Linked DNA regions of Oreochromis niloticus. The protein of the gene in region 3 purifies or fractionates together with the protein of the main gene of each other region. This does not show direct contact. Links are inferred from orthologs where the notes say so. Each region holds a gene or a part of one and is shown on either strand. Other genes may lie near its edges.

Region 1 (6,917 bases), on a different chromosome or scaffold from region 3:
CATCAGTGAGAACTACACCAGACTGAAATGAAACAGAATTTGGGTAATGTTAGGGTAGAGTGCCCTCTACAGGTGGGAATGTGACACCACATGGTTACAGCCCAGGATGGAACAGAAGAGTTAAAGAGTCCACAAAAGTGAAATATAAATAACCTCTTTTTCTTTTCTTTTTTTCCTCTTTTGCCTCTGCAGACTTGGACAACAGTCTATCCTCAACATCCAGCCCATCTCCAACTACAGTAAGTGTCAAATACTAAGGCAGATTAGTGTATGAATATGAATGTGTCATGGCTACTGGACGGACTCACGCGCAGACAGTTCTTTCTTTGAGAACAAAAGGAGATTATTTATTTACAACAGGGATCACCTCAGTGCTATATATATGTACAGTGAGTTGGGAGAGGGGGGGTCCAGGGCTCTGGGGAGAGAAGGGGGGGGATCCACACACGCTTCCTCTTCCACACAGTCACCGCCACAGCTCCTCCGCACACACGCACTCCTCTTCAGCCGCACTTGCTCCGAAACTCCACACATGCTGCCACACCCGGGCAGGTCCCATGATTTGGTCCAGAAGAGGGATATCTACACACAGAATTCAACGTTAGTTCCACAGCAAAATTCACATAGAGGATTCTTTTGATAATGCCGAGAGCACGAACTCAGGAGGTTCAACGTTCCAGCGGTGAGCTGCTCTGTGCCACTGCCTTAAATAGCAGCTGGGGAAATCAGCCAGATCAGCAGCAGGTGGAGACAATCACAGGTGCGTGGGCCAAGAGCGAGAGCCCGTAACGAGCTCCACCCAGGCAGAGAGGAGGAGGAGAGACAAAGAAAACAAAAACAAAAAACAACAACAAAACCTGTAGCCAGCGTGAGCCAGCCAGAGAGACACGGGGACCGTGACAGAATGTTTTTATATGACTAAACCCTTGATGCTCAGGGGCCCGTTCTTCGTACCTCGCTTACTACATCCAAGATCAAATGACACATCCAAGATCAAATCATCGCGCTAACTTTGAGCTCGCTAATCCGGTTCTCCGAACACACCTGTTGTTGACGATCAGTATAGCTGGATGAAGTAATGCGAGATCACTGGGTGTCTCAAAAGGGGCTACGCATCGATAGTAGAAACATTGATCGGCAACCCTGTGATTGGTCGGCGAAGATGTCGAAGGCGCGCGCTCAGTATTTTACGGCAGCAGAGCAAGAACTCTTGACTGAGGGATATCAGGAGTTTCAGAGTTTAATTAAAACGCAAGGGAACACTGCAAAGGCTGCAAAAGCAAGGAGAGAGGGCTGGCAGAAAGTTGCTGACAAATTAAACTCGTAAATAATTTATTATATCATATTCCATTATATCCTCTTTCACATTAGAGCCACAACAGGACCCACTAGAACATGGGGACAAGTAAAAGTGAAATATAAGAATATTCTACAGAATGGTAATATTTATCACTTATATTGCTTTTAGTCTCTTGAAAAGAGACCCTGAAATAATCTGTTTGTTTGTTCATAACAGCAACCAAGAAAAGGGCAGAGCAAATAAAGACAGGTGGTGGTCCTGCACCCCCTCGTGTGTGTGTGTGTGTGTGTGTATGTGTATGACAGGACGGATCCTGTCAATCCCGCAATATACGCTGAATTCTGGAAACTCTCCTTATCAATCTTGCACCTTCCGCAATGGGTTGCTCGCGTACAAACGGACAGGACATGACTGCGACAGACTTCCCAAATCCACCTTCGCTTTTATAGCCGTGGTCTCTCATCTTGATTACACGAAGTAATTTACTATTACTACTCTAAAATACGAATTACATCTGAAATAATCAAATACGTGTAATAGAATGATTACTAGTACATTTCCCTTTTTCTTAGGAAATGACCTGTATGTATCTGTATGCAATCAATAAAAGAATCAAATACTGCATTATCTTTAGTTACATTGATAATATTTATTTATGGAGAAACAGTGGTGAAATATCGCTGTTGCTTTCGTGTACATGCAGCGGACATACCTGAGTGGCCGCGATCTAATCCTGTTTACATAAAGTAAACCTGCTCCCGAGCAGGTTTACGCTTACGGATCTGTTGCTATGACAGCAAGTCCCAGATGAGCTTCGGAGAACCGAACGATCCAAGATCACGCGAAATCGTCAACAATCAAATCCGGCTAACTTACATAGCGAGGTACGAAGAACGGGCCCCTGGACTGAGAGGTTACATTAATAACGACAGAGAATTTGTATTTTGTGAAATTTTGTCTTACACATCTTCCTGTATTTTTCTTCAGGTTTCTCTTCAAGTACTAAAAGCACTAATGGCTACCAAAGTGCCTCCAGCTCTCCTGCCCCGAAGCTGCTGATAAAGACAATTGAGACCAGAGATAACAGCAGATACAGCATTCACTGAGAGCACACTCACTGGTCCGCTGTGATTTTCTAAAAGCTGTCTCTAAATGTGTGAGGGGCTCCACGGGGCATTTCATTACTTTACTTAGAATAATGGAAACATAAATGATGTAAATGACAAAACCGAGTGGGAGTAGTCCTGGGGTTTGTTGTTAGTTCCTAATACTGTTAAGGATTTTAATGTGTTTCGTTTAGTGTGCTGAGTAGTCTAGCTTTAATCATATGGGGTTTTGATACACACTGTGGTAGAGTGCTGTGTTATTTACTGTCTAATCTGTACTGAGATTACACGGTCATACGACTATTGGAGTTTAGAGTTTAGGATAGCTGGTTATAAAGAGATTTTTTATGCTACTATAAAGAACATTAACTTTCTTTAGCTACAGAAGTAGTTTAGTTTGAGGGGGCTAAGTTACTTTTTAGTTGCTTTCAAAAATAAAGTGATCATAAACAAAAATGTTCTTGATTTTTTATTCTTTCCTGTTTCTGAAACTTCTGTAAAAGCAAAAAAATCCAAAGTATAAAAAACTCCATGCTAATCATACGTCACATTTGAATTATTTATATTGATGTCTCTGTCGCGTTGCTACACTCAGACTCAGCATTTCAGAGGACCCACTAAAATGTGCTATTTTTATACAGTCAGCCCCATGTTCCCCTTTTTTAATGTGATTAAGCATCACTGTTACAAAAGACCAAACAATATTACAGCATGAGCATGCACCAGCAGTTAAAATTAATATACCCAGAGTTAACAGTATACAGTATCTGAACATACCAGAGGCCCTGCTGAGGTTAGAGGTTTGTCCCATGGCAATGTAAAACAAACAACTAAATACCTTTCAATCCATCCATGCATCCATCCAACCACCAAGCTTCATCCAGTTTAGGGTCGCTACTTCTGGAAGTTAAAAGTTTGATTCAAAGTTCTAGAAGGAAGTTCTGCCACAATACGCATTTTAAACACACCTGTAGACGTTACTATTTTATTACTATGTAAATTGAATTTAATATAAATGTTTAATATAAATATAAATTAAAAATGCATGGTTAGAATCACAAAAAAGCCACCCATAAGTCAAAATTTCCGGTTATTACAAGTGCTACCTTTTTTTCTGTTTTACAATCTTTCCAGTATTTTAAATTTAGGATCCTTTCAGTCCTCTACATTAAACTTCCGGGGGCGGGGAAAGGAACGCATTCGTAGGCCATCTTAAAATTGACACAGTTAACAGTTAATAAAAACGTTTTCTATTTTCTATTCCGTATAGCTTTGCTCGTGTTCAATTAAATACCAATAATCAAAATTTAAAATAAATTAATAGAACATGTTTTCGGTCGCGCGCTTCGAACGTGGTTGCCTGGTAACAGCTGAAAGCAAAGAGCCAGAGCGTCGGCTGAGCACGAGCTTTCAGCTTGTGGCAGGGGGTTGGGCGAACAGCTCGGGACCGACGCTCCCCTCGCCTCTTATTGGTCCGGGTCGTGAAGTTTTCGCGCCAACGCGCTGCATTGTGGGGGACTGATAACGGAAGTTGTTGTGTCCTGAACAAGTTGGGGGGCTGTGTTATTTGGCAGTGGGAAAGAGGGGCGCTGTGTTTTGTTTTTTAGATTTGAACTCAGGTTGAAATTACACCTGTCGCTGGTGCGGATGCGGGGCGAAGAGTCTTCAGATTCGGAGTCGAGCAGGATGGAGGAGAGCTCGGTGCGGAGGAGTTTGGAGACGTTGTGTCAGGAGCTGAACATGGACGAACAGACGGCCACAGAAGCCATGGACAACTTTACTGCCATATGGAATACATATACTCTGGAGGTGAATAATGTCCTCTAAATAGTCAGTAGCTGTTTAACGAGTCAGACTCCTGCTAAGCTCATTACTGTAGATTAATTTTCATGCGTAGTGAATGCTTCACCAGGACACGAACACAGCAGTTAAAGGGCTCTGTTTTTACTTTCCACGCTGGAGTTGCACCGGTTAGTCGATCGCCACTGTGTATCAACTAATCATATTGCCAGTAAAATGATCGTGCTGATTTATTCTTGTGTCAGAGTCACCCCTGGTTTCGGCCTCTCCAATACAAAAATACTTAATGTCCAAGTGAAGCGTTAATGTTACAGCAGGTATCAGCTGGATTAAGCTAAATATATACAATAAAATAAACTAAAAATAGATTAGAGACTAAAGACAGCGTATATAGATTTATTTGGGATTTATTTTGTTGAGCTGTTGTTGTCATATGTTGTTTATTGTTTGGGTTACTGTGATGGCGTGAGTTTCTGATAAAGTAGACACTAGAGTAATCATAATATTTTATTTATTGAATGTAACTACTGTCCAGAACCACAGTCTTTGTTCACATCAGGGTTTGGACTGAATAACAAAAAGGGGGAAAACGTATTGTTACCCCAGACCTTGGTCATGATTTTTTTTTTCATAAACATACATACATAAAGACGCTTGACTTAAATTATATCAAGCCTGTTTTTGTATACTAGTGTGGGTGGGTGAAGCTGTGCAGTAATTTAAAGAGTGCTTGCGGTATAGGGATCCACTACTGATGAAATTTTTAGGTCAGTACTGATGTTTGAAATATCAGTCTGGCCAATAGATGACATTAGTAGTTTTTCTTCTGTAGTTAGTTTTGTGTTGTTATTTCGTCCTCCTTTCAATTAAATAAATGGTCATTGTAAAAAAAAAATAAAAAAAAAAAAACCTCTTAAACTCATATCTTTATTTGAATAGGGCTGATTTCAATGAATAAATATTTTTTTATTCACTTAAATGCATAAAATTCATGGCAACGTTGTTTATTGAAAATTAAAATGAAAAACAATAAATGGGAATTATTTGAAACCATGAGTCATGCAAAGATAGATAACCTACTCTGTTTAACTACTCCATGCTCTTAAACTTTGTTTTATTATTGTGTTCATTTCCTGTTTTTATGCTTGTCTTATTTGTTCTGTAAACTGTCCTCGAGTGTTTTGAAAGGCACTTTTAAATAAAATGTATTATCAATATTGTCATTATTGTTATTATTATTATTATTTAAGCTTAAGTAGAATCCAAAAATAAAAACATGGATAAAAGCAGGAAAGGTTTCTTTTAAAAAAAACACAGACACACGCTTATAAGTATAATGTTGATTCCTAATTTACATTTACGAAGCTGTGACAGCAAAATGTTTTCTGATCAGTTTGATGTTTCTTGACTAAAAAGATGAATATGGTAAATGGCCTGTATTTGTATAGCGCTTTACTAGTCCCTAAGGACCCCAAAGCGCTTTACACATCCAGTCATCCACCCATTCACACACACATTCACACACTGGTGATGGCAAGCTACATGTAGCCACAGCCACCCTGGGGCGCACTGACAGAGGCGAGGCTGCCGAACACTGGCGCCACCAGGCCCTCTGGCCACCACCAGTAGGCAACGGGTGAAGTGTCTTGCCCAAGGACACAACAACTGAGACTGTCCAAGCCAGGGCTTGAACCGGCAACCTTCCGATTACAAGGCGAACTCCCAACTTTTTGAATATGATTGTGCATCATGCAGCTGCATGATGCACAAAGCTTTATGTTTATGTTATGTATCGAAGACAAATGTGTAAATGTTGTGTTGCTGTTTCTCTGCAGGGAGATGTTGTACACTGGCTGGCATGTTCACTGTATGCAGCCTGCAGGAAGGGGTCCACTCCCACAGTGGGCAAAGGGCTGATGGAAGGAAACTGTGTCTCACTGACCAGGATTCTTCGCTCCTCGAAACTCAGGTGAATCTCTGTCAGCTCTGCGGGACCTGACTGTGCAGTTTAAGAAAAATGTAGCAACTGATAAAGCAATAAAAACATCAGTGTGCCGAATAAATTATGAGGTGGTAACTTACCTGGTTTTAGATGACTGATGGTGAAGAAAAGACTCAGATTCAGTGTCTTCTTTACAGATAACACAGAAAGTGAAATAATTTTCTGTATTATCTGTAGAAAAATTTGACCATAAACAATGAATGTTTACAAACTGAAATCCTTTAAAAAGTGTGTTACAAAATTTCCAGTTACAGTTTTAATGGGAGCCTATCCTCCATTGTTTTGTGTTTGAACATGTACACTTCTGCTTGTTCTGTCCCTTCCTCAGTCTGATCCAGTTCTTCTCCAAGATGAGGAAGTGGGCCGACATGTCCAAGCTCTCACAGGACTTCAGGCTCCGAATGGAGCGCCTGGAACGCAACTTTGAGGTCTCCACGGTGATTTTCCGCAAGTTTGAACCCATCTTCATGGACATGTTTCAAAATCCGCAGGGAACCGACCCGCCACGGCAACCACGCAGCAGGAAGCACAGGTAACACTAACACACACAGAGCTGCTTGTCTAACCCTTGGTTAACATTCTTGTAAAGTTCTATATCTAAAGTATTAAGATCTACTTTGAAAGTGTTTGCTTTAAATCCCTTTGATGCTGGACTTTGTAGTGCAAATTATATTAAAGTACATTCAATTTTCAACACTGCTTAGCTATA
Region 2 (7,957 bases), on a different chromosome or scaffold from region 3:
AGACATTTATTTGTTAGGTCAGCATGTAGCCACAACTGTGAAATAGCCAAGACTGAACAGATGCAGAACAAACAGTATACAGAATACATTATACACAATATAAAACCGGGACAGTTTTTTAAAATAACCCTGTGGTATTGTGGATATTTACCCCATCCACCATGTCTAACACTTCCTTCAGAGCTGGGCCAGTGGGAGACAGGAATCCGGAGCTGTCCACCACCCAGCTAGTGCTGTTCAGTCCTCCTGTGCTGTCCACCTCACTCTTGGGGCTCAGACTGTTGCTTGGAGAGGGAACAGACTTTGACAGCCCAGCTTTGCTGGGGCCAGCTTTAGCTGTTTCCTGCAGCTATTGGAAAAAGAAGATTCTATAACAACACTAGTATAGACTAGTTTCTGATACTTAAGGTAACGGTGTTATTATTTTTTTTTTTTTAAATGAATCTGAACAGTCACTTACTGAAGGAGGGATCTTCTGCTCCGAGTCCTTGTCTGAACTGTCTTGAGAGCAACTGGGCATCTGTGTAATGAGAAAAAACCCAATTTCTGTATCTTACCATACATATCTTTTGTATCTTGTATCATAGAGGAGGACATCATGGAAACACAGCCCACCTGACCATCCTTGCTAACACGAGCCCACAGCTCCTCCAGCTCATTGGGCCTGAAGACCTCCCCGGAGTAGAAGCCCATCTCTAACTTCCGTTTGATGGTCGAATTCCAGTGATTCTTCACTGCATTGTCCGTCCTGTCAATATATATCAGGACGTGAATTGCAGTGTTTCCCCACATACTGACTTCATTTGGCAACACAAAGTAATCCTCGCACTTATTTTGAGAGTTGACTTATTGTTAAAACCTGGCCCTTCTCCTGAGACATCCAACAATGTAATTACACTACCTCTTAAGTGTGTCTCACGTCCTGTGGATGAAAGGATTCCAGCAAACAACAGTAGACAATACTCTGCTGCGAAGATCTGCTGTGACCTACAGGCTCAGTCTAGCTGGAACAAGTTCCTCGTGGTTGAGAACAGAACGAGAACTACTGTTTAAGTTTAAGACTGTGATGTAGGAGTCCATTGCAGGACAAGTGACCCACCGGATAGGCAGCTGATTAAATTGTTCATCAGTTGTTACAAAGTATCTGACAAGCACGGCAACGTATCAAACTTTTCTAAGTTAAAAATTTAAGAATTCACTTCAGAAAAGAGCAGGAGTTTGCATGTAAAAGCTCACATCAGCCCAATTCTGTTTCTGGCAGAGTAGCTACTTGCCTTCCAGGGAGCAGTTTTGCGATCTCAGCCCAGCGATTGCCAAGCAGGCAGTGAGCCTTATAGATGATGAGGTCCTCCTCAGCCGTCCACGAAGACTTCTTAACGCTGGGATTGAGGTGGTTGTGCCAGCGCTCTCTGCACTGCTTCCCCAGTCTGCCTTTCAGGTGCTTGGCTACCAGCGCCCACTGTTTGTTGCCATAAAGATTCACAAGCTCTATAACCTAGAGGACAAAAAAGAAAAGTTAAAAAAAAAAAAGATCACCAGCATGCTTTTATTCACAACATATTTACTCCATTCACACCTCTGAACTACCTACCTTCTCATCTTCCTCTTTAGTCCAGGGGCCTTTCACTAATTCTGGGTCCAAGACTTTAAACCAGCGATGCTGACACTGATGTTCAGTATGATTCTAAAAAAACAAAAAAGCAAACTCAAAATACTGAAAAAGATTTCTGTTGACATACATTCTTACAGAAAAGATGCTCAGACTCACAGGTATGTAGCTGGCTATGGTTTTCCAGTCATTTGGTCCCAGTTTTTGAACCAGCGTTTTAAGCTTGTCATCCTGTATACACACCAAAAAATGAGCATTTCTTATGATCCCTGTCCTCCTCTAGAGCCATTTAAATTATCTGTTTACTTCAATGTTTAAATGAAGCAGTCTGGTTTACATTATATATATTAAAAAAATAAAAATAAACAAATACCTCCTCTTGAGTCCATTTCACCTTCACTTTCCCTCCATCCCTCTGCTCTGCCACATCAGAATCAGTGTCCTGATGCATGGCCTCCTCTCCATCCTCACTGAGAAACAAACAACTGTGATGTGGACGAACATAGCTGACAGACAACTCACTACTGACCGGCCCTGGTGATGTCCGGAAGACAGCTAGATTATCGTTCTTATTTTTCTAGCCAACTTGGCGGATAACAGTTCGCTCGCAGAAATAACACAGTTTGCCAATAATGTCTGTGCTGAGCAGTGATTTATTTATCTAGTGTGATCTAAGAGAAACCGTGTTTGGCCTTAAGTTTAACCCAAAGCCTGTTTTCCGTGTCCGGAAAAAGGGCGGCCAGACACAAGCGAGCTCCCAGGGATAGCAGGGTTAGGTCAAACAGTGAAGACTTCAGTTTCCAATTGACTGTATTAAAAAGAATAAGTTAAATACTCACGTCAACCCCCAGTGTTAAAAAACACACACACAGCTAATTTAGGTAATAACGATTAACATCTTACCCGCGCGGCCACCGGGACATTTCCCTCTATTTCTGTTGTTTACGGTCCGAAAGCGATTTCTCCGGCGGCCGTTGCACGTCATGTGCATACGTACTTGGTATTATGTCGTCGTAATACCCGTGATTAATGTCTTTATGCTGTAGCCAGTGTTGGTGATGGAGGCTCGGCACTGTTCTAATGTTACAGCCTATACAACCAGCTGGTGCGGAGCGCCAGAGTTGTCCGCGCTCTTGGATTTCTATCTCGCGCTCTTCTCTGTCGTAGGAACCGGATAGTGACGTAGCTGCGCATTGGAGCTGCGCGTAGCCACAGAGAAAGCTTCCGGTGGAACTTTTTTGGGTTTGTCCCAGCGCTGTAAATTTTGTTTTATTATCGTAAAATAATGTTTTCTGCAGTCATTGGTGTGTCTCAGTCAAACACTGTAAACACCCAATTGCTGAGAGGGGAAGTTTAGATATTGTTACATAATAAAACAGTAATGAAATTTAGTTTGAAAAAACACGATTTTTCTACTACAAAATTTCAGACACTTTCACATAAAAGTGTTTACTTATAAAGTCATTTTAATTTATTTTTTGTTTGTTTTTTCATGTTTACACCTTTAACTAAATATACTTTCTACCATTTTCCTTCCCAGAAAATCTATAGTATGTTTGCGAACAGCTTTTAAACAATACAGTGCTTATTAGACCACCACCCGGTGTAAGGTTTATGCACCAGCTGCCTTAAATTGATAGTACTGGTATTCAAAAAGTATTTTTAATGTTTCTGTAGTGGTTAGTCCACCAGTATGTGTAAGCTCTTTAATAAAAATTATATTTTTAATGCTAAAATTTTTTTTTTTTTTTAAACAGCATACAAATAAATAGTTTTTAAAAGGTTTAGTGATCTTGTTAAAATTACAGCCTTATATATAACCTAACAGATTAGCGCTCAATAAACCACAAGTAAATTACAGGGCCTGAATCTGTACAGGGCTGACAGGTCCGCCTCCTGCTCCCACTGATGACCTGCAGCTGGGTCAATTAGCAAGCAGCTCCAACAGCTTAAAAGCCAGCTGGAGGAGGGAGGCAGCCCTGATCAAACATGGAGAAAGTGTTTGTGGTCAAAGGTAAGAAAACTAGACTGAATTAGACGTGTTGATTTGCCTCATCAGGTGATTTGTTTCTGAATTCTGTCTAACATGTTTTACCTTCTAGATATGAAAAGCTTTGAGTGCTCATCTCCATCAGAGCTTGACAGGAAGTTTTATGGGGAACAGAGTCTGCTGTCTGTACTGTCACTGGAACAACTGTCCACATCGAGGGTGTCGAATGACACAACAGCTGATGGATTGGACACCAAGCCGTCTATTGGAGCCTCTCTCTGCCTGTCCTCTGACACCGCCTCTCCCTGTCCAGGGTTTTCAGTGAACACCATGAACACTCACGAAGCTGATGGCTGCTACCTGGCCGTCCCGTTACAGGGGAAGTCCTCCACTCCCCACATGCTCCTTCAGAAGCCAAAGCAGGCAGCTTGTTTTGATCAGTCATACAGCGATCTCACCGCCTCACAAATGTCATGGGACGTGTCTGTGATCAAGTCGGAGAGCAATAGCCCTAGATTCTACGTGGAGTCCTGCACTCTGGAGCAAACGTGGAGTCCAAAACCCTCACAACAAGAGTCACTAGCTGATGTTTCACCCTGATGTGGCTAAAATTAACACTTTACAAGGGAAAAATGTTAGATGTCAAGTGTGATGTGCACTCCCAGCCTCTGCACCCACTATGTCCAAGTTAACACCCCCCCCCCCAATCCATAGTTTGACATCATGTTCTGTTTTAAAGGATCCATGTGAGGACTGATGCAGAACAGTTTGCCTTTTTAATAATCACATCAATGTTTTAACTACAAAAATATTTTCAAAGCACTGTTAAATAAAGGGTATAGAACTTTATTTGCTCTGGTATATTCTTACAATGAAAGACAATACAAAGTTATAAAATGTAGCTGTACATGTTCTGAAAAGTGTGGTTACCACAGTCCCTCCATTGTAACTGTGCTCATAAGCTCAAACTGTGCTAATTTCAAAAGGGACGTATTGAATGTTCAGATTTCTTGAATCCAATCACAGCGGAGTGAACCGGGCCTCAGGATCCATATCGTGTTCCTGCCAAAAGTGAGGAAAGTCATTTTTGGACAAAGCCTTTAGATGCAAGCAGATGTAGTTATGAACACACTCACCTGATTTAGTTTCTTGAACTCTACAACCTGGAAGAAAATGTGTTCCAAGATGTGCTTGGCATCCCTCTGCTCTTTATCCAACTTAGGAGTCACTCCGAGAATTTCACCACATTTCCGGACGTAGAATTCAAGGTCATCGTCTGTACCTGTGAACACAACCCATTTAATAACAGGATGAGTACGATTAACTATCTGCTTCAAAACAGGCAAGTTCAGAAATAAACTTAGTTTAAGGGAGATGTCTGGGTAGAGTGTACAATAGGTGGGACTAGGGTGATCAGATTTAAAGGAGACTCATGAGCAAACATTTAACATGTAAATATCTGTAGCGGGAGGATTGAAAGTAGCATCCCAACTGACGGCAGGTATCAACAGGCCTTTTTAGACTTGTTTAAAAAAACAAAAAAAAACATGCTGCATTTCCTGTTATTTGTAGTACTTTTATTCATATTCCACGAACATTTCATTCACTTTTGGTGATTTGTGAATTTAAACTTTAAGTAGTGTAAACAGAAAAATATCATGACATGCTAACCTGCAGGAGAACCATGACAGCATTCTTCAGTCATTCAATAAATCGATTCAATTTTATTTATATAGCGCCAATTCACAGTCGCCTATATTTTATTGTAAATACCCTACAATAATAGACAGAAAAACCCAACAATCAGATGACTCCCTATGAGCAAGCAACTGGTGACAGCGGCAAGGAAAAACTCCCTTTTAACAGGAAGAAGCCAACAGAACCAGGCTCAGGGAGGGGTAGCCATCTGCCACGATTAGATGGGGTGAGGGGAGGACACTGTGGGAGTAGAGTTTAGGTAGCTGCTCTGCATCGTGTTGCCACATGGCACTAAAGATAACAAACCCGGAGGAATTGGCTGACTTTTGAAGTGTCCTGTCTTACATATATATTTCGACTTTTAAAACTAGGTCAAATTAAAAGATAAGACATAGGTTAAGTCAAAATATGTGATACAAGAGATGAAACTGCTGTGCAGTCCCACGTAAAGAGGGACACCCGATCAACCTATATGAGATAAAGGATGGCTACTGAACTGCTGTGAAAATAACCACCTAGCTTCTCACACATAAGTAGCAAATGAAAGTCAGTTTAATGTGGAATCTGACTGCCCTGGACATGTAAGTCCTCACATACGCCTCCATCAATAGATATCTAGAGGGCTGCAGTGCATGTGTGAATGCTCCATTAGCAATCCTGAACTTACACTTATTGGTGAGCTGTGCCAGTCGCACTTTCTCCGACGAGAATGTTTCGTCTAGATCGAACAGGTCCAGCATGGGTGGTGGCAAATCATTTAAGGCAGGTGGAAAGACCTGAAAGACAGGACAGCACCTACTTTTGGCTTCAAACTTGTGGGACTTTAAGCAAAAATGTTGTCTTAAGTTTTCAGTTACATTGACGTGAAATCCTTTGAACAGAAAACCCCCAGAAAAAAAAAAAAAAAAAAAAAAACTCACAGCAGGCTGAAGCTGAGGCAGAGGAGTTTCAAACTGCGGTGCAATCAGCTGCAGTGGCTCAGCTTTCACATTAAGCTGCTTGTAAGCACTGCAAACCAAAGATCTGTTTTTAGCTTCGAAGGGAAACAACAGCGATTGGACTCAGGGGAGGGTGACCAATTTCTCACCTGATGACTTGGGGTAAGGTGTCAGTCGACAGATTGAACAAAGACATATCAAAGAGAGAGGTGAAGTCCCGTGGGTTTTCGTCTCCTTCTTGTAAGCACACTCTGAGCTGTTCAGACAAACAGCCAGTGTCTGGCAGCATTGTGTAATCTGTGATCTGGGGGACAAAAAAAAAGGACAAGAAGAAAAGAAGAACCTTGGCTCATTTAAAAAAAAAAGAAAAAGAAAGAGAGAGAGAACAATTAGGAAAGCCATTTTGCCATGCACACTCCTCTTCCTCACCTCTGGGTCTTCGGCATCAATCTGATTCAGCTGAATGTTATCGGTCATGAGCCACTGAAGCACAACGTCCTGTGATAAAAGAAAAAGTTGTATGCCACGGCAGCCAATAAAAAAAACTACTATTGAAATACTCATTTAAAGGAGCTTTATTCTAGAAGGATCATGCTTCTACCTTTACCTAATAAATTACACAAAAAAGTGGACTTACCATGATTTTATTGTTCTCCTCTTTGTCTATGTATTGATCACTGAACATGTGGCAGGAACCCAAGACAGCCAGTTTGCCAGAATTCTACATTTAAAAAAAAGTAATCTCCATGTTACCACATTTCTGACCATATGGTTAGGAAAAGAAAGTTGTCACTACACTGTGCCTCTGACCTTGCCCTGATAGAAAGCCAGGACAGGCCTGTTGAGGGGAAAGCAGACGGAGCCCGTTGAAAGAACAGCCACGGCCGGCTTCACCACGGTCAGTGTGGCACCGTACGGGTACACAAATGTGAGCGCCCTGCACAAAGAAAGACAACAACTCAAATTTGAAGTCTTTCTCTTTAATGCAGAAGATGGAGGTGTACAAAATTGAGACTCACTGTGCATTGTTTCCAACATTTTCATCTTCAATGATTCCCGTGACCACTTTTCCAGCAGCACGACTGATCTCCCTGCACAGGAAACAGGCAACTGAATTGATAGTTTGGCATTTATCAGCATACAGATGAAATTAGATAAGTGTTAGATTATGCCATCATAAATTTAGGCTAGAACAACCTGGGACTCTGTGAAATATACATAAAAAGAGAAAAACACTGGTGAACCTGTTCAGTACACCATTCGACACAAGCGCCTCCTTAGGATGGAAGTATTTGTAGTACACATTCCTCACCACAGCATCTTGGATGAACAAGATGAAAACGAATACAAAGCATTTTAAAAACAGCATGGGCAATGTTTGCATAGTTGTTTTTCCAACAAGGTTTCAATGCACACCATTGTTGACCATTACTCCGAAGTCCTCCAGGAGGAAATTGATGTTTGTGTCATACTTCATTTCTCCTCCTTCACCGAGCATGACCAAGATATTCCCTCCTCCATCCAGGTAGACTTTCAGCGCCTCCATCTGAAATAAAAGGAAATAACTACTGTGAAAATGTGTTTGCGGTTGAACAAATGAAAGAAGCTTAAATATTTTGGGTGGCCCTAAGCCTTGTAGAATTTTAGACTGCTTGGAAATTAGCCGGCAAATATCATCTTTTCGCCCATATATCACCTCTGACGCTGTGAACCTCTCCCTTG
Region 3 (7,679 bases):
ATGGGTTCACCAGAGGAGTTGACTGGACAGGCAGTCGGAGGAGGAAGTCGGTACACATTCTGACCTTTACCGTTGATTGTGTCCGTAACCTAGGGAGAAAAAAAAAAAAAAAAAAAAAAAGATTACTGCTAAACGCTTATTTCCAACAACAATACTTAGTGATGCCATAACATGCCATTTTGTTTTTGGGGGGCACTTACTAAAACAAAAGTACGAGTACACAATCAGATAGTGCACCTCACAAACAAACAACTCAAAAATATCGTCACTGTAGGGATCATCCATTAAAAACAGTTTCATTATATCTTATTCAGATAACCTTGATTAAAACATGCAAATGTAACAGTCAGTTACATTTGCACTTAGGCAAACAAAAGAAGACAATAGTTTGGCACACAGTGTACTGCAATGAAATTAACAATTAATTTAATTACATTTAATTAATTACATTAGACCTTGTGAAACAACAATTGATTGAATCAGGAAATGATCAAATTATGAGATTGCAAAAGAGTTAAGGCCCTTTAACATGAGATGGGGCATGACCTGCGCTAACCGCTAATTAGAGCGAAGGACCCCAAATTTGTGTTGCACTGGCCGCTCTGCTTGTGCGTCATTTTTTGCGGCCGCTCTACATATACTAGATGCGTCTGCTCCTTTACATTAAAAAACATGTATGTCTCTGAATCATATCGTCTGCAAGATGTTTAATTAAATTTTTTTTTAAATGTATTGTTCATTCATAAAGAAGAAACCTGTAACTATCCTACTAGTCAAGAGTGTGTCATTTCCTCAACACTGCTTTTCTCTTGAGGTCCCCAAAGTCGCTGAAATGAAAGACTTACTCAAAGGCTCTGGAGATCCCTATATATGCACATAAACCTGTGTCAAAAAGTTCATCAAACTCAGATACACACAGAATGTTTTCCTTAATCATTTGGTTAAACTTAGAGCAGCTGTAGGCATTGTTTCTATTGGTCACGTGAAGGTAAGTCACAACACGCAGTGCATGCACGAGTACTCCTCGCTGGCACGCTTGGGCTGTGCTTTGCTCAGCGCTTTGGTTGGCACAGCAGTACAACGTTATTGTGTGGCGCAAGCAATAGAAATGAACGGGTTTCAGAGCGCAGGGCTGCGCGTCCCACATCCTATGTGAAAGGGCCCTTACACTCTACCCTGCAAAGTTCCACATTAGCAAAATGTAAAAGACCTCATTTTAACTTACTGTAGATGCATGAGTGAAGTATAACTTTAAATCAATGTGCCTCTGTGTTTTTTTGTACATTTGTTGGTTGTACATTTGAATAAAATCTCCAGCATCTAATCCATTTATGATCCTACCTCTTCCTCTACCATGCTCTGTGGGGAGCTGGGGGAAGCAGCTGGTTCTCGAACGGAAGGATTATTCCTCATCCATGCACGGCAGATAGGATACAGTGGGGTGGCGGTGTTGAACTGAGCCAGATCCACACTGCGGTCAAACAACTTGATAACGTAGGCATCTATTAAAAGGAGAACAAGAGAAAAATAAATTAAAGGTAAGAAAATGGTCACAAGTGCAACAGACAAGATGGTTACACAGTAACCAAGGCACATCAAAGACAAATTCCAATCATTTTTCATTATTTTCATTAATTTACTTTGTTTATGCTGATTGCTTTCTGGAATGCTCTCATCCATCTCTTTTCGCTTCTTTCTCCGGTGCTGTGGAAATCGAGCCGACGGTCTGCAACAAATAGATTTTTTAAAGTAATAAATTTTTGGAGCTTAAAAGAGATTCAAACTAATTTCTCATACAATTCAAGTAAAATTATATTTTTTATTTCCAGACAAAATGATAAAAAAGTCTAAATATGCCCTGTTTTAAATGCCTTGGTATTTCTTTGTGAAGCACTTTGTGATCTTTGTATTGGAAGGTGCTATATAAATAAAATTTTACTTACTTAGTAATTACAAAAAAGTTACTGACAAGTCAAGTTTAACTAAAACATAAATACTTGCCTTTTTCCAGCAGATGTCGGTGATAAATCCCTAAAGAGAATGGTGGAATATGCATAAATTGCAATTAAAAAATAAATGTTGAAGTAAAATCATTGAATCAGCGCACCCAATTGTAAAATATTCTATTAACAGATCATTAAAAACTAAATAAAACCAAAATCACTGGTCCATACTTGTTCAAAGAGTCGGCTGACAATTTTCCCGGATCACCTTCATTTTGTTCCCTGCTGAAAACATGTTTATATTAGTTTTGTTATTAAGAATAACTCGATTCTATAATAATTATATGCACAACAATTAATTTTGCTAACCTTTCATTTTCGCTCTTCTCTACCAGTCCCTTTAAGACAGCATCTAATTTGCTGCGCGCACCAGCCCCGTCTAAGTCTGCAGAAGTAATAACGAAATAATTAATGACAACAACAATACTCACTTTGGGTGACACTCGCCCCCTGTATTACTTAGCTTTTAAGAATCCTGTATAATCCGAACCACTCAAACTTACAGGCGAATGTACTCCAAAACAATCCAAAACAAGAATTTGTACCACACAAAATTTGGAAAAGCTGAAAACACAAGGCTTCAGGAAATATTGAGAGCTGCTGTTACCTGGCCTTTCAGTCTTGATCTTGACGTGTTGCATTGTGTCCGCCTTTCTATAGACACCCCGTGGGAACTGACGGACTTGTAAAACCACACGGTTGCTGTTTCGGTTCTTTAGATTTACAATAAATTATGTTTGATTCCTTGCTAACGGCGCCGTTAGCCAAGCTAGCTGTGGGTACCGTTTACAACCAGTTAGCTGTAACCACTGGTTAACAGTTAAGCTATATAACGCTATTCAAACCATTAAGCAAATAACATTTATCCCTATCGACTTCCATATAGTTAATAGAAAGATACAGCACAGCAGTCGTTTATGATTTATACCAAGCTTTGCAGGGTAATGGCCAAACTACTGTTGCTAACTTAGCTTATTTTTGACAAACGCATAACCTTACTAGACTTTCCTCTTCCGCGCGCTGCCAATTTCCTATTAGCTGATTGGTGCCTGTGCAAACAGGGCCGCCTATATGATTGGTCAAATGTTATATCAATCATTTTTAATTCGTTCCCTATTGGCTGTATGTCGTGTAGTAAATAACGTTCGGCATACACAACAAAAGCTCTCTTCCACTTTCATCGAGAATGTACTGGGTTTGTAAAATAAACGCGAAGTTACTATGTTTTTAGTCAGAACGTTAAATTGGAATGATAAATAGATGTTCATAGAGCCTAACGGAGAAGCGTAATTTATATTCTGAAAGGGAATTTCTGGCATTTGAAGTAACTTTGTGTGTAGACAAGTAAACTCGGAAGAGTTTAGTAATGGGGCCATCGTCTTTTTGTTAGCTAAGTAACCCACTCAGATTAACACGTCAGTCCTGATATGATTTGGGGTGCACGAGGTAAACCAAGCCCACGTTGAAACAAGGACTGTGTGTGCTTTCTTGTGGTCGTTGATGTCTCATCGGTCACCTCCAAAGGTTGCTATGAATTCCAGGTGAGGATCTAATGACACATTTTGTAGCACCCTAAACAGAAGAAGTTATAGTTAGTAATATGTGTTCTTCTTACAGTGGACCTGTGTTCACAAAGCAGAATCCCTTCCCAGCAGCACCCAAAGTGAGGACGGCACACTACCACCCATCCAGCAAACAACCCCTCTCAAAGAAAGAGAAAAAAACTGTATGTTTTATTGTCAAAAACACTTAATATACTGCAAGAAAAACAGATTCTCATTGTGATATATATATATCCCTTTTCTGTTCTTCTTGCAGACACTAAGTCCTGTACGTTTAAACCAGCGATCCAGAACAAAGTTACATAATCTAAACCGAGAGAGCCAGCAGCTGTCTAAGAAGCATGACCGTTTTTCCTCCATTGATGGACAACCTGTTCTTAAAGAGTCCCAGGCCTCCACTGTCGTTGGATTCTCTCCTGATAGAAATACTGCCTCATCTGACATGGACGAACCCAAACAGTCTGGAAAAATGGGGAAATCCAGTGTTTCCCAAGTTCAAGGAGGCCAGGAGGATTCTGTGCTGGCAAAGTATGTCTTAATGCCTTATGTAATTTTCTTAAACAGAACTAAAAAAATAGTTTCAAAATGACAACGGGACAATTTTTCATGATTAAATATGACAATGTCATAGTGACCCTGATTATTTTTATTTCATTTTGCACGTGACTTCTTGTAACCAAATCTGACCTTTGCTTTGCCAGATACGTAGAGCGTTTTCGCCATGGTCGCCCACAGAGTCGAGAGGAGCGCCATCAGGTGGCTTCTGCCAGTGGAGAAGAGCAGGCTCCTTTTTGGTGGATGTCACATTCATCACCCAGCAGTTCAACACCAACTAAAACAACAGACGAAGGTACACTTTATTTACAGTCATTGGTGTATTTTATTCCCCATTACCAGCTGCTTAATTCTATCAAATCTTTCTGTGTACTTCATTTCTCTGAAAAGATGTTATCCAACTTCTGAAAGAGGACCAGGATCCTGCTCTTTATGATCCATCTGCACAGCGTGACCGTAACAGATCCCTTTCTCCCTACAGAGGATCCAATAGTGTAAGTTGTATTTATAAGCTAAGAAGAAATAAGCCATAATTTATCAATTTTTTTATAGCAAATGTGCTTCTGTTTCTTGAAAAAATAACAGATCCATAAGATAGGGGGAAAAGGCACCACCAATTATTCAGTTTTTATTGTTTGTGTATGATGTCACAGTGGATTATGGGGTTTACATTGTCCCTTGATTTACACCACGCATGTCCAAAGTGCCTGGGATTCTGATTGTTTGCAGAAGCAACACTTTATTCCGACTAAGTTTGCATATAAACATTTCCATTTCAGCACCACACTCCATTTGGAGGTCTATGTGTTTATTAAATGCCTGGGAAGTCGCCGTTTATGCAACCAGATTTGACACGTTGTTCAGCCTGCTAAGAACAAATGCATCACCCTTTTAATTAAAATCCTTTTATTTATTTATTTATTTGGGAGGATTTATTTACACAGTATTGCAAGTCTTTATATGAAAAAACGTGTTTTTTGTTTCCCAGCTTTTGTCCGACACATCCCAGGGTGAATTTGATGACAGGGAGATCCTGCACCTTCAAGAAAAGGCCAGCAGACTTCTTCTGAGGGGGTATGAAGACCGTTGAGCAATATTAAAGATAAATGGCTTGAGTTGTATTAACTTTTTTTTTTTTTTTCTAACAGTGAATGTTCTGTGAGTGATGGATCTGTCCCTGTCAGCTCAGAGGGGCTGGGATGCTCAGATTTCTCCTATCCCATCAGTATAGATGAGCCAGTGAAGCAACCTTTGATTCCCAGTTTATTCAAAAATACTACTGGTAGGGAAAGAGTGTGGACTAGAATACCTTTTGTTATTTATAGACAGATTCTATTTTGCGTGCTGCTGTGTTTTAAACAGTGTGTTAACATTTACAGCAAAGGCCAGCTCAGACTCAGCTCATGGTGTGTCCTTCCAAAAATCTGTCATGCCTTCTTTGGTGCCTCCTACCCGTCCAGAGGAAGACATATTGTTCCAGTGGCGTTTAAGGAGGAAAATGGAGCAAGCCAGAGAGAGGCCCCTGTCTGTGCAAGCCTCCAGTCCTCATGCATTTAGTTGGCAGGCAACGAGGTTAAGCTATCCCTCCATTAGTGAACAAGCTTACAAGGTTGGAATCAAACTGTTTGTTACATTATCCATATTCTTTGCACAAATTTACAGAATAACATTAATTTGCTCTTCAGGAACAGCAGGGTACCCAACCTCCTCAATTCTCACAAAGAGATACTCATTCACACATCACTGCTGCCCAGCCAGAAACCACAGAGGCCCAGAGGTTCTGTCCCCCAGCTCCAGGTCCTTCACTATTCCCCACCATCAATGTTTCTGGTTCAGTCCCTCAGCCGCAGAGCATTGCCCACGTTCCTTCCCACATGCATTTTCTCTGTGACGTCTTGCCATGTCCCATCCAGTCATCTCATGCCAAAGTGCACCAGAGCATTTCACAAAGGTTAGACGAGTCACAAACCAAAGTTCTTCACAAAAAGACCCAAGTCCCTGAAAGCCTTGGAGAATTAACTCTTTGTGAACGCATGTCACTCACTCCACCCACGCCATCTGAGAGAGAGTGGCCTGATCACCAAAAAATGTCTGAGAAGAACAAGAAAAAGAAAACGGGGACGAAGCAATCAGAGGTAAATGGGAAGGAGGAAGCAGTGCTCGCCAGACAGCATAAGAAATCAGCAAGGTGAATTATTGAAACATGGGCACTGTTTAAAAGTCTTGGTGATAAAAATATGTGTTTGATATATACCGTTAACATTTTGTGGGATTTATGCTTCACAAACAGGAATTCATTACATCAAAAGCTTCCCAAAAAGGTCACATCATGTAAAGAGCAGCAGCAACCAGAGAGAAGACAGGAGCTTCCCAGTGAAAGCTGTGCTGGTGATCACGAACCACCACCATCCCCTATCCACAATGCATTAGGACAGGTAAACATGCAAATGTGCAATTTTATTTCTTTATTTGAAGCCACAGAGGCTGTGTCCATATTTGGGCTTTCTGGGGGGGTTTTTTCTCTGCAGTATATTTGATAAACTGAAAGCTGTGTGTTTGTTCTCAGACTTTGGCAATCTATGATTGTTTACAGATCTTAATTAATCATTTGTAAAGGCCATTGACAGATCTGGTCTTTAGGAGACTGTATATATTAAATATTTAAATAAAATACACACAAGTTTTTATTGAATATAATTACAGGTCTACCTTCACTATGCATGTCTGCACATATTTTTTGGATGCCAAACTGGTCATAAGGTTCAATGTGATCAAGGTAATTAATATGCATTAACTTGGGTGTTTTCATTTGACCTTAACAGGTAGTTTCAGAGGTACTGTTTCCTACGGTGGATTCCTCTTCTCCGAAAAGGATTCCTGTTTCATCTGATTCTCCTTCCTTCACCGTCGCTGCACCTTCACCATCGCCAATTCCTCCAAGCAATGCACTGAACTCTATGGAAGTCATTTCACAGCTTTTCCAAGAGGCCGAAGGTAAGCTTATGGTGGCAAAAGGCACCAGTCTTTAGCCCGTAAACAGCTGCATAAATAGATGCTTTTAGTATCTGTCCTCTCACTCAGATTAAACTTTTTGTTTTAGATTCGGATGAAAAAGAGTTTGGAGATGATCCTTTGCTACAAGTTCTTCGCAAACAGAGAAAATGGGTGAAGGAGCAGATCAGGTAAAACGGAATTAGATTATCACCATTACTGTAATGATTAGAATCCTTTCCTGTGTATATTTCTAGCATTAATTTATTCTTAAAATCTCTTTGAATCGGTTGACAGTCATGTTAACAGAGTCGATTGCCAGAAAAAGAATGATTTTTTGTTGTTGTTGTTGTTGTTTTGTTAGTGAGGTGGACTCCATCTTAAATGAATTCGTGGAAGAGCAACAAGTTACTTGAAGAACATCAAGAGACAGTTTTTGTAGTCACATTTATTTATTTTTTATTTTATAAAGAAATAAAGTTAATTTATATTTTTGAGGACATTTTTCTACAATAAAGGTTGGAGATGTGTCTCGGTGGATTATTATTCACAACACTGTGCATGTACA
Region 4 (7,620 bases), on a different chromosome or scaffold from region 3:
AACCTTTGTACACAGTATGTTCAATTGATATTGACGCAATCATTTACAGTAGTAAATATATTTAATTTAACAGTAACATGTGGAACATGACAAGCAATATTTTTGTAAAAATGTATTAATAATACAAAAGGTCATTGTTACCTGGACAGTCTTCAGCTGCTGGGTCTGTAATGTGGTCACCTGGTTGCCCACCACTGGCTTCAGGTCTGACCTCCCACCTATAGTCACCACTTTAAACTGCGGAGCTTGAGACTTGGTGTCCCCGGCAGTCTGTGAAACACCAGGCTTGCTGCCTGTGTGGGGTAACTGAAGCACTATAGGCTGCCCTGATTTTCCTATAGCTGTAACCAAAAGTTTCTGTCCATCCTGCTTGATGACCTGAGGTGGATTACCTGCAGACTTTGCTGCTTCTGAGGCTTGAGAGGCCACCTTATTGAGAATAATCTGGCGATTTGCAGGAGAGATTGTAAATGGAGTTGTGAGCTTCTGTAATCCACTTGTAGTCACACTAGTTCCAGTAACACTGTCTGTGGTTTTGGTTGTGGCTGTCGAAGTAGCCAAGCCTGGTTTGATAGTAAGAAGAGGAGACGATGTGCTGGAATTTGAGACAGGAGGCGGACTTCTGGGGCTGGCACTAAGCATGGAGTCTGTGGCTGTGGAGGTGGTCATAGCCTGAGTGGGTTCGGTTAAAGCGGCGTCTGAACAGAGGCTCACGTTCTCTGAAGCCATGGGTGTATCAGTTTCCATTGGGACCGATGCATCATCACTGGGCTCTGAGTGGACTCCAGTGGTGCCAGGTTGAGAGTGAGGAACATCCTCTATATCCTCAGTATCCATGATCTCATCAGGGAGGAGGCTGTTGAGCTCTGGTGACACTACATCCATGCTTGCAAACTCTCAGCTTTCTGTTAATCCTGAAAGAACAATACAATTAACTTTAATTGTCATTGCAAAATACATCAAAAACACCAGTAAGCCACAACATTAACACCACTGTCAGCTTAACTTATAATACAGGCACACATGTTCAAACTCCAGCAGGTCAAATCTGTTTTATTGGCTATTAGGCAGGAGGGTTTTCTGTTGTATTTGATCACTTTTATATTATTTGAAAGACCTAGAAGCTTACATTTACTGCACTAGATGCACCATGAACAGGGAGAGACAGACAAAGATAATACAATTTTAAAATTCTGAGGATATACATTCATCATTTTAGAGAGCTGTTGCATTTAATTGCAGTCAACAGTGTTTGCAATTCATTTAAAAATGTATTCCTCTACTCATTTATACAATATACATAACTGGATTATAATACAGACAGACAGCTAAAAGCTGTGCTGAGAATATAGAGCAAGATAGTTCAAGCTAGCGAGCTAGCCATGTTGGTGCAGTAGAAGTGCCAGATTGTCATAACTTTACCTGTAAATCACTTCAGTAATTACGTGAGGTGTAATAAATAAAGAGGTGGGCATGAGTAACGTTTGACTTGTGCTGATTTTGACTGAAGCAGACAGCTGATGCTAGGCCGCAACGATCATCTCTGCCGTATCTTTGTCCTGCTGCACTCTACTCAACATTAATCCACCGAAACGCACATATGAACCCTACCCACTCCATACCACATTCACACGCAGAGCTGACTGAGCTGAATCTCTTCACGTCCCCAGATGAAAGCCATCAAAAGAAAACTGTGCTGAGTTGCACTCGTTTATTTTAAAAATGCCCAGAAGTGGTCCTGACTGGGGCAAAGAGCGAGGAAAAAAAGCGACAAGCTGTTTTGTTGGCTGCGTTACTATTTCAGGCCGGGGTTGGATTTCGAAAGATCCGCCATTTTTACCTCGTCATCAGCTTAGTTAGCTGCCCGGCTAACGCTAAGCTATGCTGAGGGGAAGCGTTTATAAATATTGGTAATAAGCAGAGACACTTACACTGACAGTTCACTGCAAAACAAGCATTACTAAACAATCGCTGAAGATAAGACTTGATGTTAACAGGGTGCTGCTGGCGAGTAAAAAAACAACAAAAAACAACAACAACAACAAAACTCTGCAGACTCTGACAACGTAAACAATGCTAGCTTTCACTAATTTCTCCTGTCACTTGACATAGGAGGAAATACAACATTTTAATTCCACAATGCAATTATTGCGATTGCTACTATAGATCTCCTTAAGAGCATTTACAGTCTGTGTTTTAGGGCTGGAGTTAGCGTGGCCTAACCAGTTCAAAATGATGTTTTAGTTTAACCTCAAGAAAGTCATATTTTGACTGAGTTATAGTCTGAGAATGAACCAGAAAAGCGTAAATTCCAAGAATGTTACGGGGTCAACAGCTAAAGTAATATGAAAACAACTAACAGCAAATGGAACTGCTGACTTGTGCCTTCTAATATTTTACATACATATAAAAATATCTATGATCCTTTAGACGTTTCGCCAGTATGTCAAATGAAACTCGATGTGCAGCTAACTTAGCTTTTACTTTTCATTTGCCGTTGCAGTAAGTAAACTTAGCGGCCGGCTCACATGATATTTACACCAAGTCCCTGTTTTGTGCACGAGAAACTTTCCTTAAGCGCTGAAAATACTCTGCCGAACCAAGTCCTGGGAATATTATACTGCTTTTTCACCGGAGTCTATCTTTAAACATCGTTATCGTTATTGTTATCATTATCACCATCAGCAGCAAAGACAGCAACAGCAGTCTCATCTAGACAGCCCAGCGGGCAGGACAACTGTACTAGCAAACTTGCTGAGCTTGCTAACCCGAGCTAGCTAGCACAACATTATATCTCAACATTGAATACATTCTTTAGTGTGAGTCTTTATGTTGAATATAGTGTGTTAAATCCTAGAAAGGGCCAACGCATAGTCATGCTTACCCCAAATTTTTAAGCTAAGCAGCGTTTCCAGATAAAGGGAGGAAAGGAAAAGACGATTGTTCAAAATACCGCGCCGAGCGCCATTCCTCCCTGACATTTCACAGGCCGGCCACGCCCTCCACGCGATACGAAACACTGACGTAACACTTAAAGCTACAGCACAATTGCTTTATCAACGTTAGGACTGTTTCTACAAAACTATTTAATGCTTCTTCTTCTTCTTCTTCTTTTTTATAGTTTTTTTTGGGAAAATAAAAACTTTTATTAGTTTATAAAAAACAAACAACACAGTCAGCCTTGGAGCTCGTGTGCTGGACATTACCAAAATCTGACAGAGCACTACCCAGCAGCCTCACTAAGTGCCCAGTCTCACGTACCACTGTCAGGTAGTCAGTAAATAATAAGGTGGTGGACATGTTTACTTACATGTCCCGTAGTTTCTCTTACAGTAACAGTGGCAAAACACATGAAATGCACTTCAGAAAATCAGAGAAGATAAACTTCACCCTGCAGTTGTTACTGCCTAGATGGGAGTAAACTGTCTTCAGCATGGAGATTACGCCATGATTCACTCCCAGATTCGACCTGCTTGCATACTACAGAGTGTCAAGAGATGTTTTCGCCTGAGGTCTTAGGCAGGCCAGCGTAGTCTCTTCAGTACATTCATCATAAGTCTTGATGCATTCTCAATCATCCAGGAAAGTAAATCTCGAAAAGTTGAATCTGATCATCTGGACGTAGCGTTTTGTGGGAGAAACGTTTCGTCACTCATCCAAGTAACTTCTTCAGTCTCAGCTGACTGCAGGTTTCCCCAAACCTAATAAACAGTACATTTGCATAATGACTGAAACCAGCCCACTGAAGGAACAATGGGCTGTGAGGTCAGTTCCTTAATCATAATTATGCAAATTCCCATGACCATTGATCAACAATCACTGACCAAAACCCACTGATCAAAGAACACTGATCAATGGCCATGAGTACCATTCACTTTGAGTTGGGGAATGGCTGCAATCACAGCGTTGTAAGATGGCGAAAGATGTACCCTCAGGCCCCCTCCTCGATTCAGAGATGGTCTTTCCCTCTTCACGTAAATGGCCTCCTTGACTCCGCGCTCAAACCAGCATTCCTCCCTGTCCAGGATGTGTACATCCTCATCATTGAAAGAGTGTCCACTGGCCTGTAGGTGTAAATAGACTGCAGAGTCCTGGCCTGATGAGGTTGCTCTTCTGTGTTGTGCCATCCGCTTCGCTAGAGGTTGTTTGGTTTCCCCGATGTATAAATCCTGACAATCCTCCTGGCACTTAACAGCGTACAGTATGTTACTCTGTTTGTGTCGGGGGACCTGATCCTTGGGGTGGACCAGTTTTTGGCGCAGCGTGTTTTGGGGTTTAAAAGCCACAGAGACCCGGTGTTTAGAAAAAATGCGTCTCAACTGTTCCGATACTCCTGACACATATGGGATCACTACAGGTTTTCGCTTGGGCAGCAGTTGTCCTTCTCTCCTGGATCAGCTGGAGCTTTCTTTAGGTGCCTTTCCCGCTTTGACAAAAGTCCAGCTGGGATAACCACATTTACTCAGGGCCTTCTTGATGTGCTGTTCTTCTGCCTCCCTGGCCGCTGTGTCTGTGGGGATGGTGTTCGCTCTGTCTTGTAGCGTCCTGATGACACCCAGTTTGTGCTCCAGTGGATGATGAGAGTCAGACCTTAGATACTGATCCGTATGTGTAGGTTTACAGTACACGTCAGCCTTTAGATGTCCCCCATTACTGATGGAAATCTCACAGTCTAAGAAGGCTAACCTGCCACTTTTCATATCCTCCCTGGTGAATTTGATGTGCCGGTCCACCGAGTTAATGTGATCTGTGAAATGTAGTACGTGATATGATTAAGGTACTGACCTCACAGCCCATTGTTCCTTCAGTGGGCTGGTTTCAGTCATTATGCAAATGTACTGTTTATAAGGTTTGGGGAAACCTGCAGTCAGCTGAGACTGAAGAAGTCACTTGGATGAGTGACGAAACGTTTCTCCCACAAAACACTACGTCCAGATGAACAGATTCAACTTTTGGAGATTCATCATAAGTGACATGAGGTCCAGTTGATAGTCAATGAGCTCTTATGGTGCTGACTTTTTCTTGTACAAAAGTCGATACATCAGGCATGTCTTTATGTATTTTGCGTAATACTTATATACTTTTTGACTGATGTTGATTATAGATATTTAGTTTTTAACTGATACCACTTGTATATAACTTGACCTCTGGTGTCATATGTATTTTATTACTATTACTATTATCCAACATTATTTAGTTAGGCTATATATTTTAGTTGTATTTTACTTAAACAAACAAACAAACAAACAAACAAACTTTTGACTGGTTTGACAAAAATGTCAGCTCAATTCAATTTTATTTACATAGCATTTAAAAAGTAATAAAAAGAAAACCCATACAGTCAAATGAATCCCCAAGAACAAACACTTGGAAACAGTGGAAAGGAAAAACTCTTTTTTACCAGGAAGAATGTGCCAGAGGGTACAGGGGCAGCCATCCACTGCAACTGGTTTGGAGTGTGGGGAAGAGAAGAGAGCAGAGAGAAAGACAAGGCAAAAGACACGCTGTGGAAGTCTACTAGAGATTAGCTGTAACTAATGATTATATGTAAAGTGCTGTATAAACACACAGAAAGTAAGAAGTAAGTGAAGAAGAAAAGTTATTCATAAAAGTAGAGAGGGTGTCTGTCTCCTGAATGCAATCTGGTAGCTGGTTTCTCAGAAGAGGGGCCTGAAAGCTGAAGGCTCTGCCTTCCATTTTACTTATAAATGCTCTAGGAAACACAAGTAAGCCAGTAACTCGAGTGTGAAATGCTTTGTTAGGGTGATATGGTATTATGAGATCTTTAAGATAAGACAGGGCCTGATTATTCAAGACCTTGTATGTGAGGTGTAGAATTTAAATGGGATTCTGGATTTAACAGGGAGCCAGTGAACGAGAAAAAGCCTTGCTAGTCCCCGTCAGTACTGTTACTGTAGCATTCTGGATCAATTGAAGGCTTTTCAGGGAGCTTTTAGAACAACCTGATAATAATGCTTTACAACAGCCCAGCCTAGAGGCATTAAATACAGAATGTAGTTGTTCAGCATGTCTGTGAGACAGGATATTTTATTGCGCAAACACAAGAAAGCCCCTCATATTTCAGATGATACTAGTGTTAAAAATAGATTGACCCTTTTTTAGGTTAAAACACAAAATTACCAGAAAAAATGTAACCAAATATAGCTATGATTATTTTCAGGAAAGGGATGGATAGTTTATAATACTCACCAAGTTTTGTTTAAAAACATATATTATCACTTAAAATTCAGACAATAAAAAAGTAATACAATAGATCAACATTTAAGCCTGGCCTAAAATAATTATAATCATTCTTTTCCCTCTTCCGCTCCCATGGCTGGCTGCGTCACTTCCTGGCTGAGCTCTGCGCTCTGACTGCAGACGGAAGGCTCTCCCCTGTCTTGGCAGAGGAAACCGGTGTTGACACTTCGACACAGGCTACAATGGCGACCGAAGTGAGGCAGGAGCTTACACAACTGATGAACTCAAGTGGATCTCATAAAGATCTTGCTGCCAAGTATGTAACGTTAGTTAGGGAGAACATCACTCGTTAAAAACTGCAACAGAAACTGCTAGCTAGCAGCTAGATACTGGTCTGCACAAAGCTAAGCTAACGTTAGCTGCATTAGCCATACATCCAGATAAACCAGATAGAAACGCAATCAGTCTGTCAATGTTTGCTTTTAGGTTTTATCCAAAGTGCAAGGAACATAAAAGGAGTGACTACCCACATTAATTGTTGGTAAAATAATTATGAGAACTGTATATTTTATCATCCAAGCTAACTAGCTAACTTGCTGCTCTTTAGCTGCACATTTGGTGCAGAGCACAAGGTAATAATAATAATAATAATGATAATACATTTTATTTGAAAGCGCCTTTCAAAACACTCAAGGTCACTGTACACAGTAGAGTAAAAAGCAACATAAAAGCAAGGAGTTTACACAATCATAAAAGCATAAGACATAAACAAATTTAAAATAGCTTAAATATAGCTTAAATACAGTTTGAACAAAGTGATACTTGACTAGAAAACTGCCAGGACACCCTTTGCGTACGTTCTTACCATCCTATAAACAACATCTTTATTAGGAACACCTATGCAATCCAAGTACAACTGTGCTGTAAAGTCTACTTTTGCAATTTCAGTTTTCGTCAGTATTGTCCAAAAGGTGATAAATCTATTTAAAAGGTATCTTTTAGGTCCTGTTGTATACGTGTTTGTATAAGAAGAAAGTGTTTACTGTATTTTTATCCACAGTATATGCTAATGGTTAATTAAAATGGAAATATTTAAATAGCTGTTTATTAAAGGGGGGTTTAATTCACTCAAGCTTAAATACACTTGTTTTTCACAGAAGTCACAATCAAATGCATCGACTTCTCTTAAGTAAGGGACCACAGACTCATTGCTGTAATTATATGTGAACTGGTGTTTATGTGCATAGTTCTGTTATGTTCAGAGCACTTTAGTGACATGTTGATTACAGATTTATTTATGAAATGATATTTACCGAATGGATTGGGTACTTTTCCTTCGATTTTGGTACTTTTTTTGGTACTCATTTCAAAATAATAAATTCAAAATTTCCTCTCACAAAATAAGTCCATACTTCTCAG

What was found.
Region 1: the proteins of lin37 (region 3) and rbl1 purify together in Homo sapiens (affinity purification with mass spectrometry; 3 studies listed by BioGRID and IntAct, with this or other methods). This does not show direct contact. The link is inferred for Oreochromis niloticus from reciprocal best matches to the Homo sapiens genes LIN37 and RBL1.
Region 2: the proteins of lin37 (region 3) and mybl2b purify together in Homo sapiens (affinity purification with mass spectrometry; 6 studies listed by BioGRID and IntAct, counting the BioPlex papers as one, with this or other methods). This does not show direct contact. The link is inferred for Oreochromis niloticus from reciprocal best matches to the Homo sapiens genes LIN37 and MYBL2.
Region 4: the proteins of lin37 (region 3) and lin54 purify together in Homo sapiens (affinity purification with mass spectrometry; 4 studies listed by BioGRID and IntAct, counting the BioPlex papers as one, with this or other methods). This does not show direct contact. The link is inferred for Oreochromis niloticus from reciprocal best matches to the Homo sapiens genes LIN37 and LIN54.

Annotation. Positions count from the first base shown.
Region 1 is NC_031970.2:5,192,304-5,199,220, forward strand, and holds the start of rbl1 (retinoblastoma-like protein 1), read left to right. Parts: upstream 1-3,899; 5' UTR 3,900-4,053; coding exon 4,054-4,215; intron 4,216-6,041; coding exon 6,042-6,175; intron 6,176-6,536; coding exon 6,537-6,740; intron 6,741-6,917. Other genes in the region: si:dkey-222f2.1 (keratin, type II cytoskeletal 8), read left to right, coding at 193-239, 2,288-2,406. UniProt on the Homo sapiens protein: Key regulator of entry into cell division. Directly involved in heterochromatin formation by maintaining overall chromatin structure and, in particular, that of constitutive heterochromatin by stabilizing histone methylation.
Region 2 is NC_031970.2:33,717,046-33,725,002, forward strand, and holds the start of mybl2b (v-myb avian myeloblastosis viral oncogene homolog-like 2b), read right to left. Parts: upstream 3,006-7,957; 5' UTR 2,533-3,005; coding exon 2,513-2,532; intron 2,080-2,512; coding exon 1,983-2,079; intron 1,841-1,982; coding exon 1,769-1,840; intron 1,685-1,768; coding exon 1,592-1,684; intron 1,496-1,591; coding exon 1,275-1,495; intron 749-1,274; coding exon 616-748; intron 521-615; coding exon 461-520; intron 350-460; coding exon 152-349; intron 1-151. Other genes in the region: ift52 (intraflagellar transport protein 52 homolog), read right to left, coding at 4,620-4,661, 4,736-4,881, 5,965-6,073, 6,218-6,305, 6,385-6,539, 6,665-6,733, 6,873-6,956, 7,046-7,172 and 4 more. UniProt on the Homo sapiens protein: Transcription factor involved in the regulation of cell survival, proliferation, and differentiation. Transactivates the expression of the CLU gene.
Region 3 is NC_031976.2:17,552,550-17,560,228, forward strand, and holds the start of lin37 (protein lin-37 homolog), read right to left. Parts: upstream 3,014-7,679; 5' UTR 2,645-3,013; coding exon 2,611-2,644; intron 2,389-2,610; coding exon 2,313-2,388; intron 2,229-2,312; coding exon 2,175-2,228; intron 2,032-2,174; coding exon 2,002-2,031; intron 1,727-2,001; coding exon 1,641-1,726; intron 1,503-1,640; coding exon 1,342-1,502; intron 90-1,341; coding exon 1-89. Other genes in the region: proser3 (proline and serine-rich protein 3), read left to right, coding at 3,504-3,544, 3,621-3,729, 3,822-4,093, 4,267-4,415, 4,511-4,614, 5,109-5,194, 5,269-5,402, 5,500-5,729 and 5 more.
Region 4 is NC_031972.2:11,870,354-11,877,973, forward strand, and holds the start of lin54 (protein lin-54 homolog), read right to left. Parts: upstream 3,019-7,620; 5' UTR 2,885-3,018; intron 2,814-2,884; exon of another isoform or gene 1,623-2,813; intron 1,578-1,622; exon of another isoform or gene 1,423-1,577; intron 915-1,422; 5' UTR 886-914; coding exon 142-885; intron 1-141. Other genes in the region: cops4 (COP9 signalosome complex subunit 4), read left to right, coding at 6,444-6,517. UniProt on the Homo sapiens protein: Component of the DREAM complex, a multiprotein complex that can both act as a transcription activator or repressor depending on the context. In G0 phase, the complex binds to more than 800 promoters and is required for repression of E2F target genes.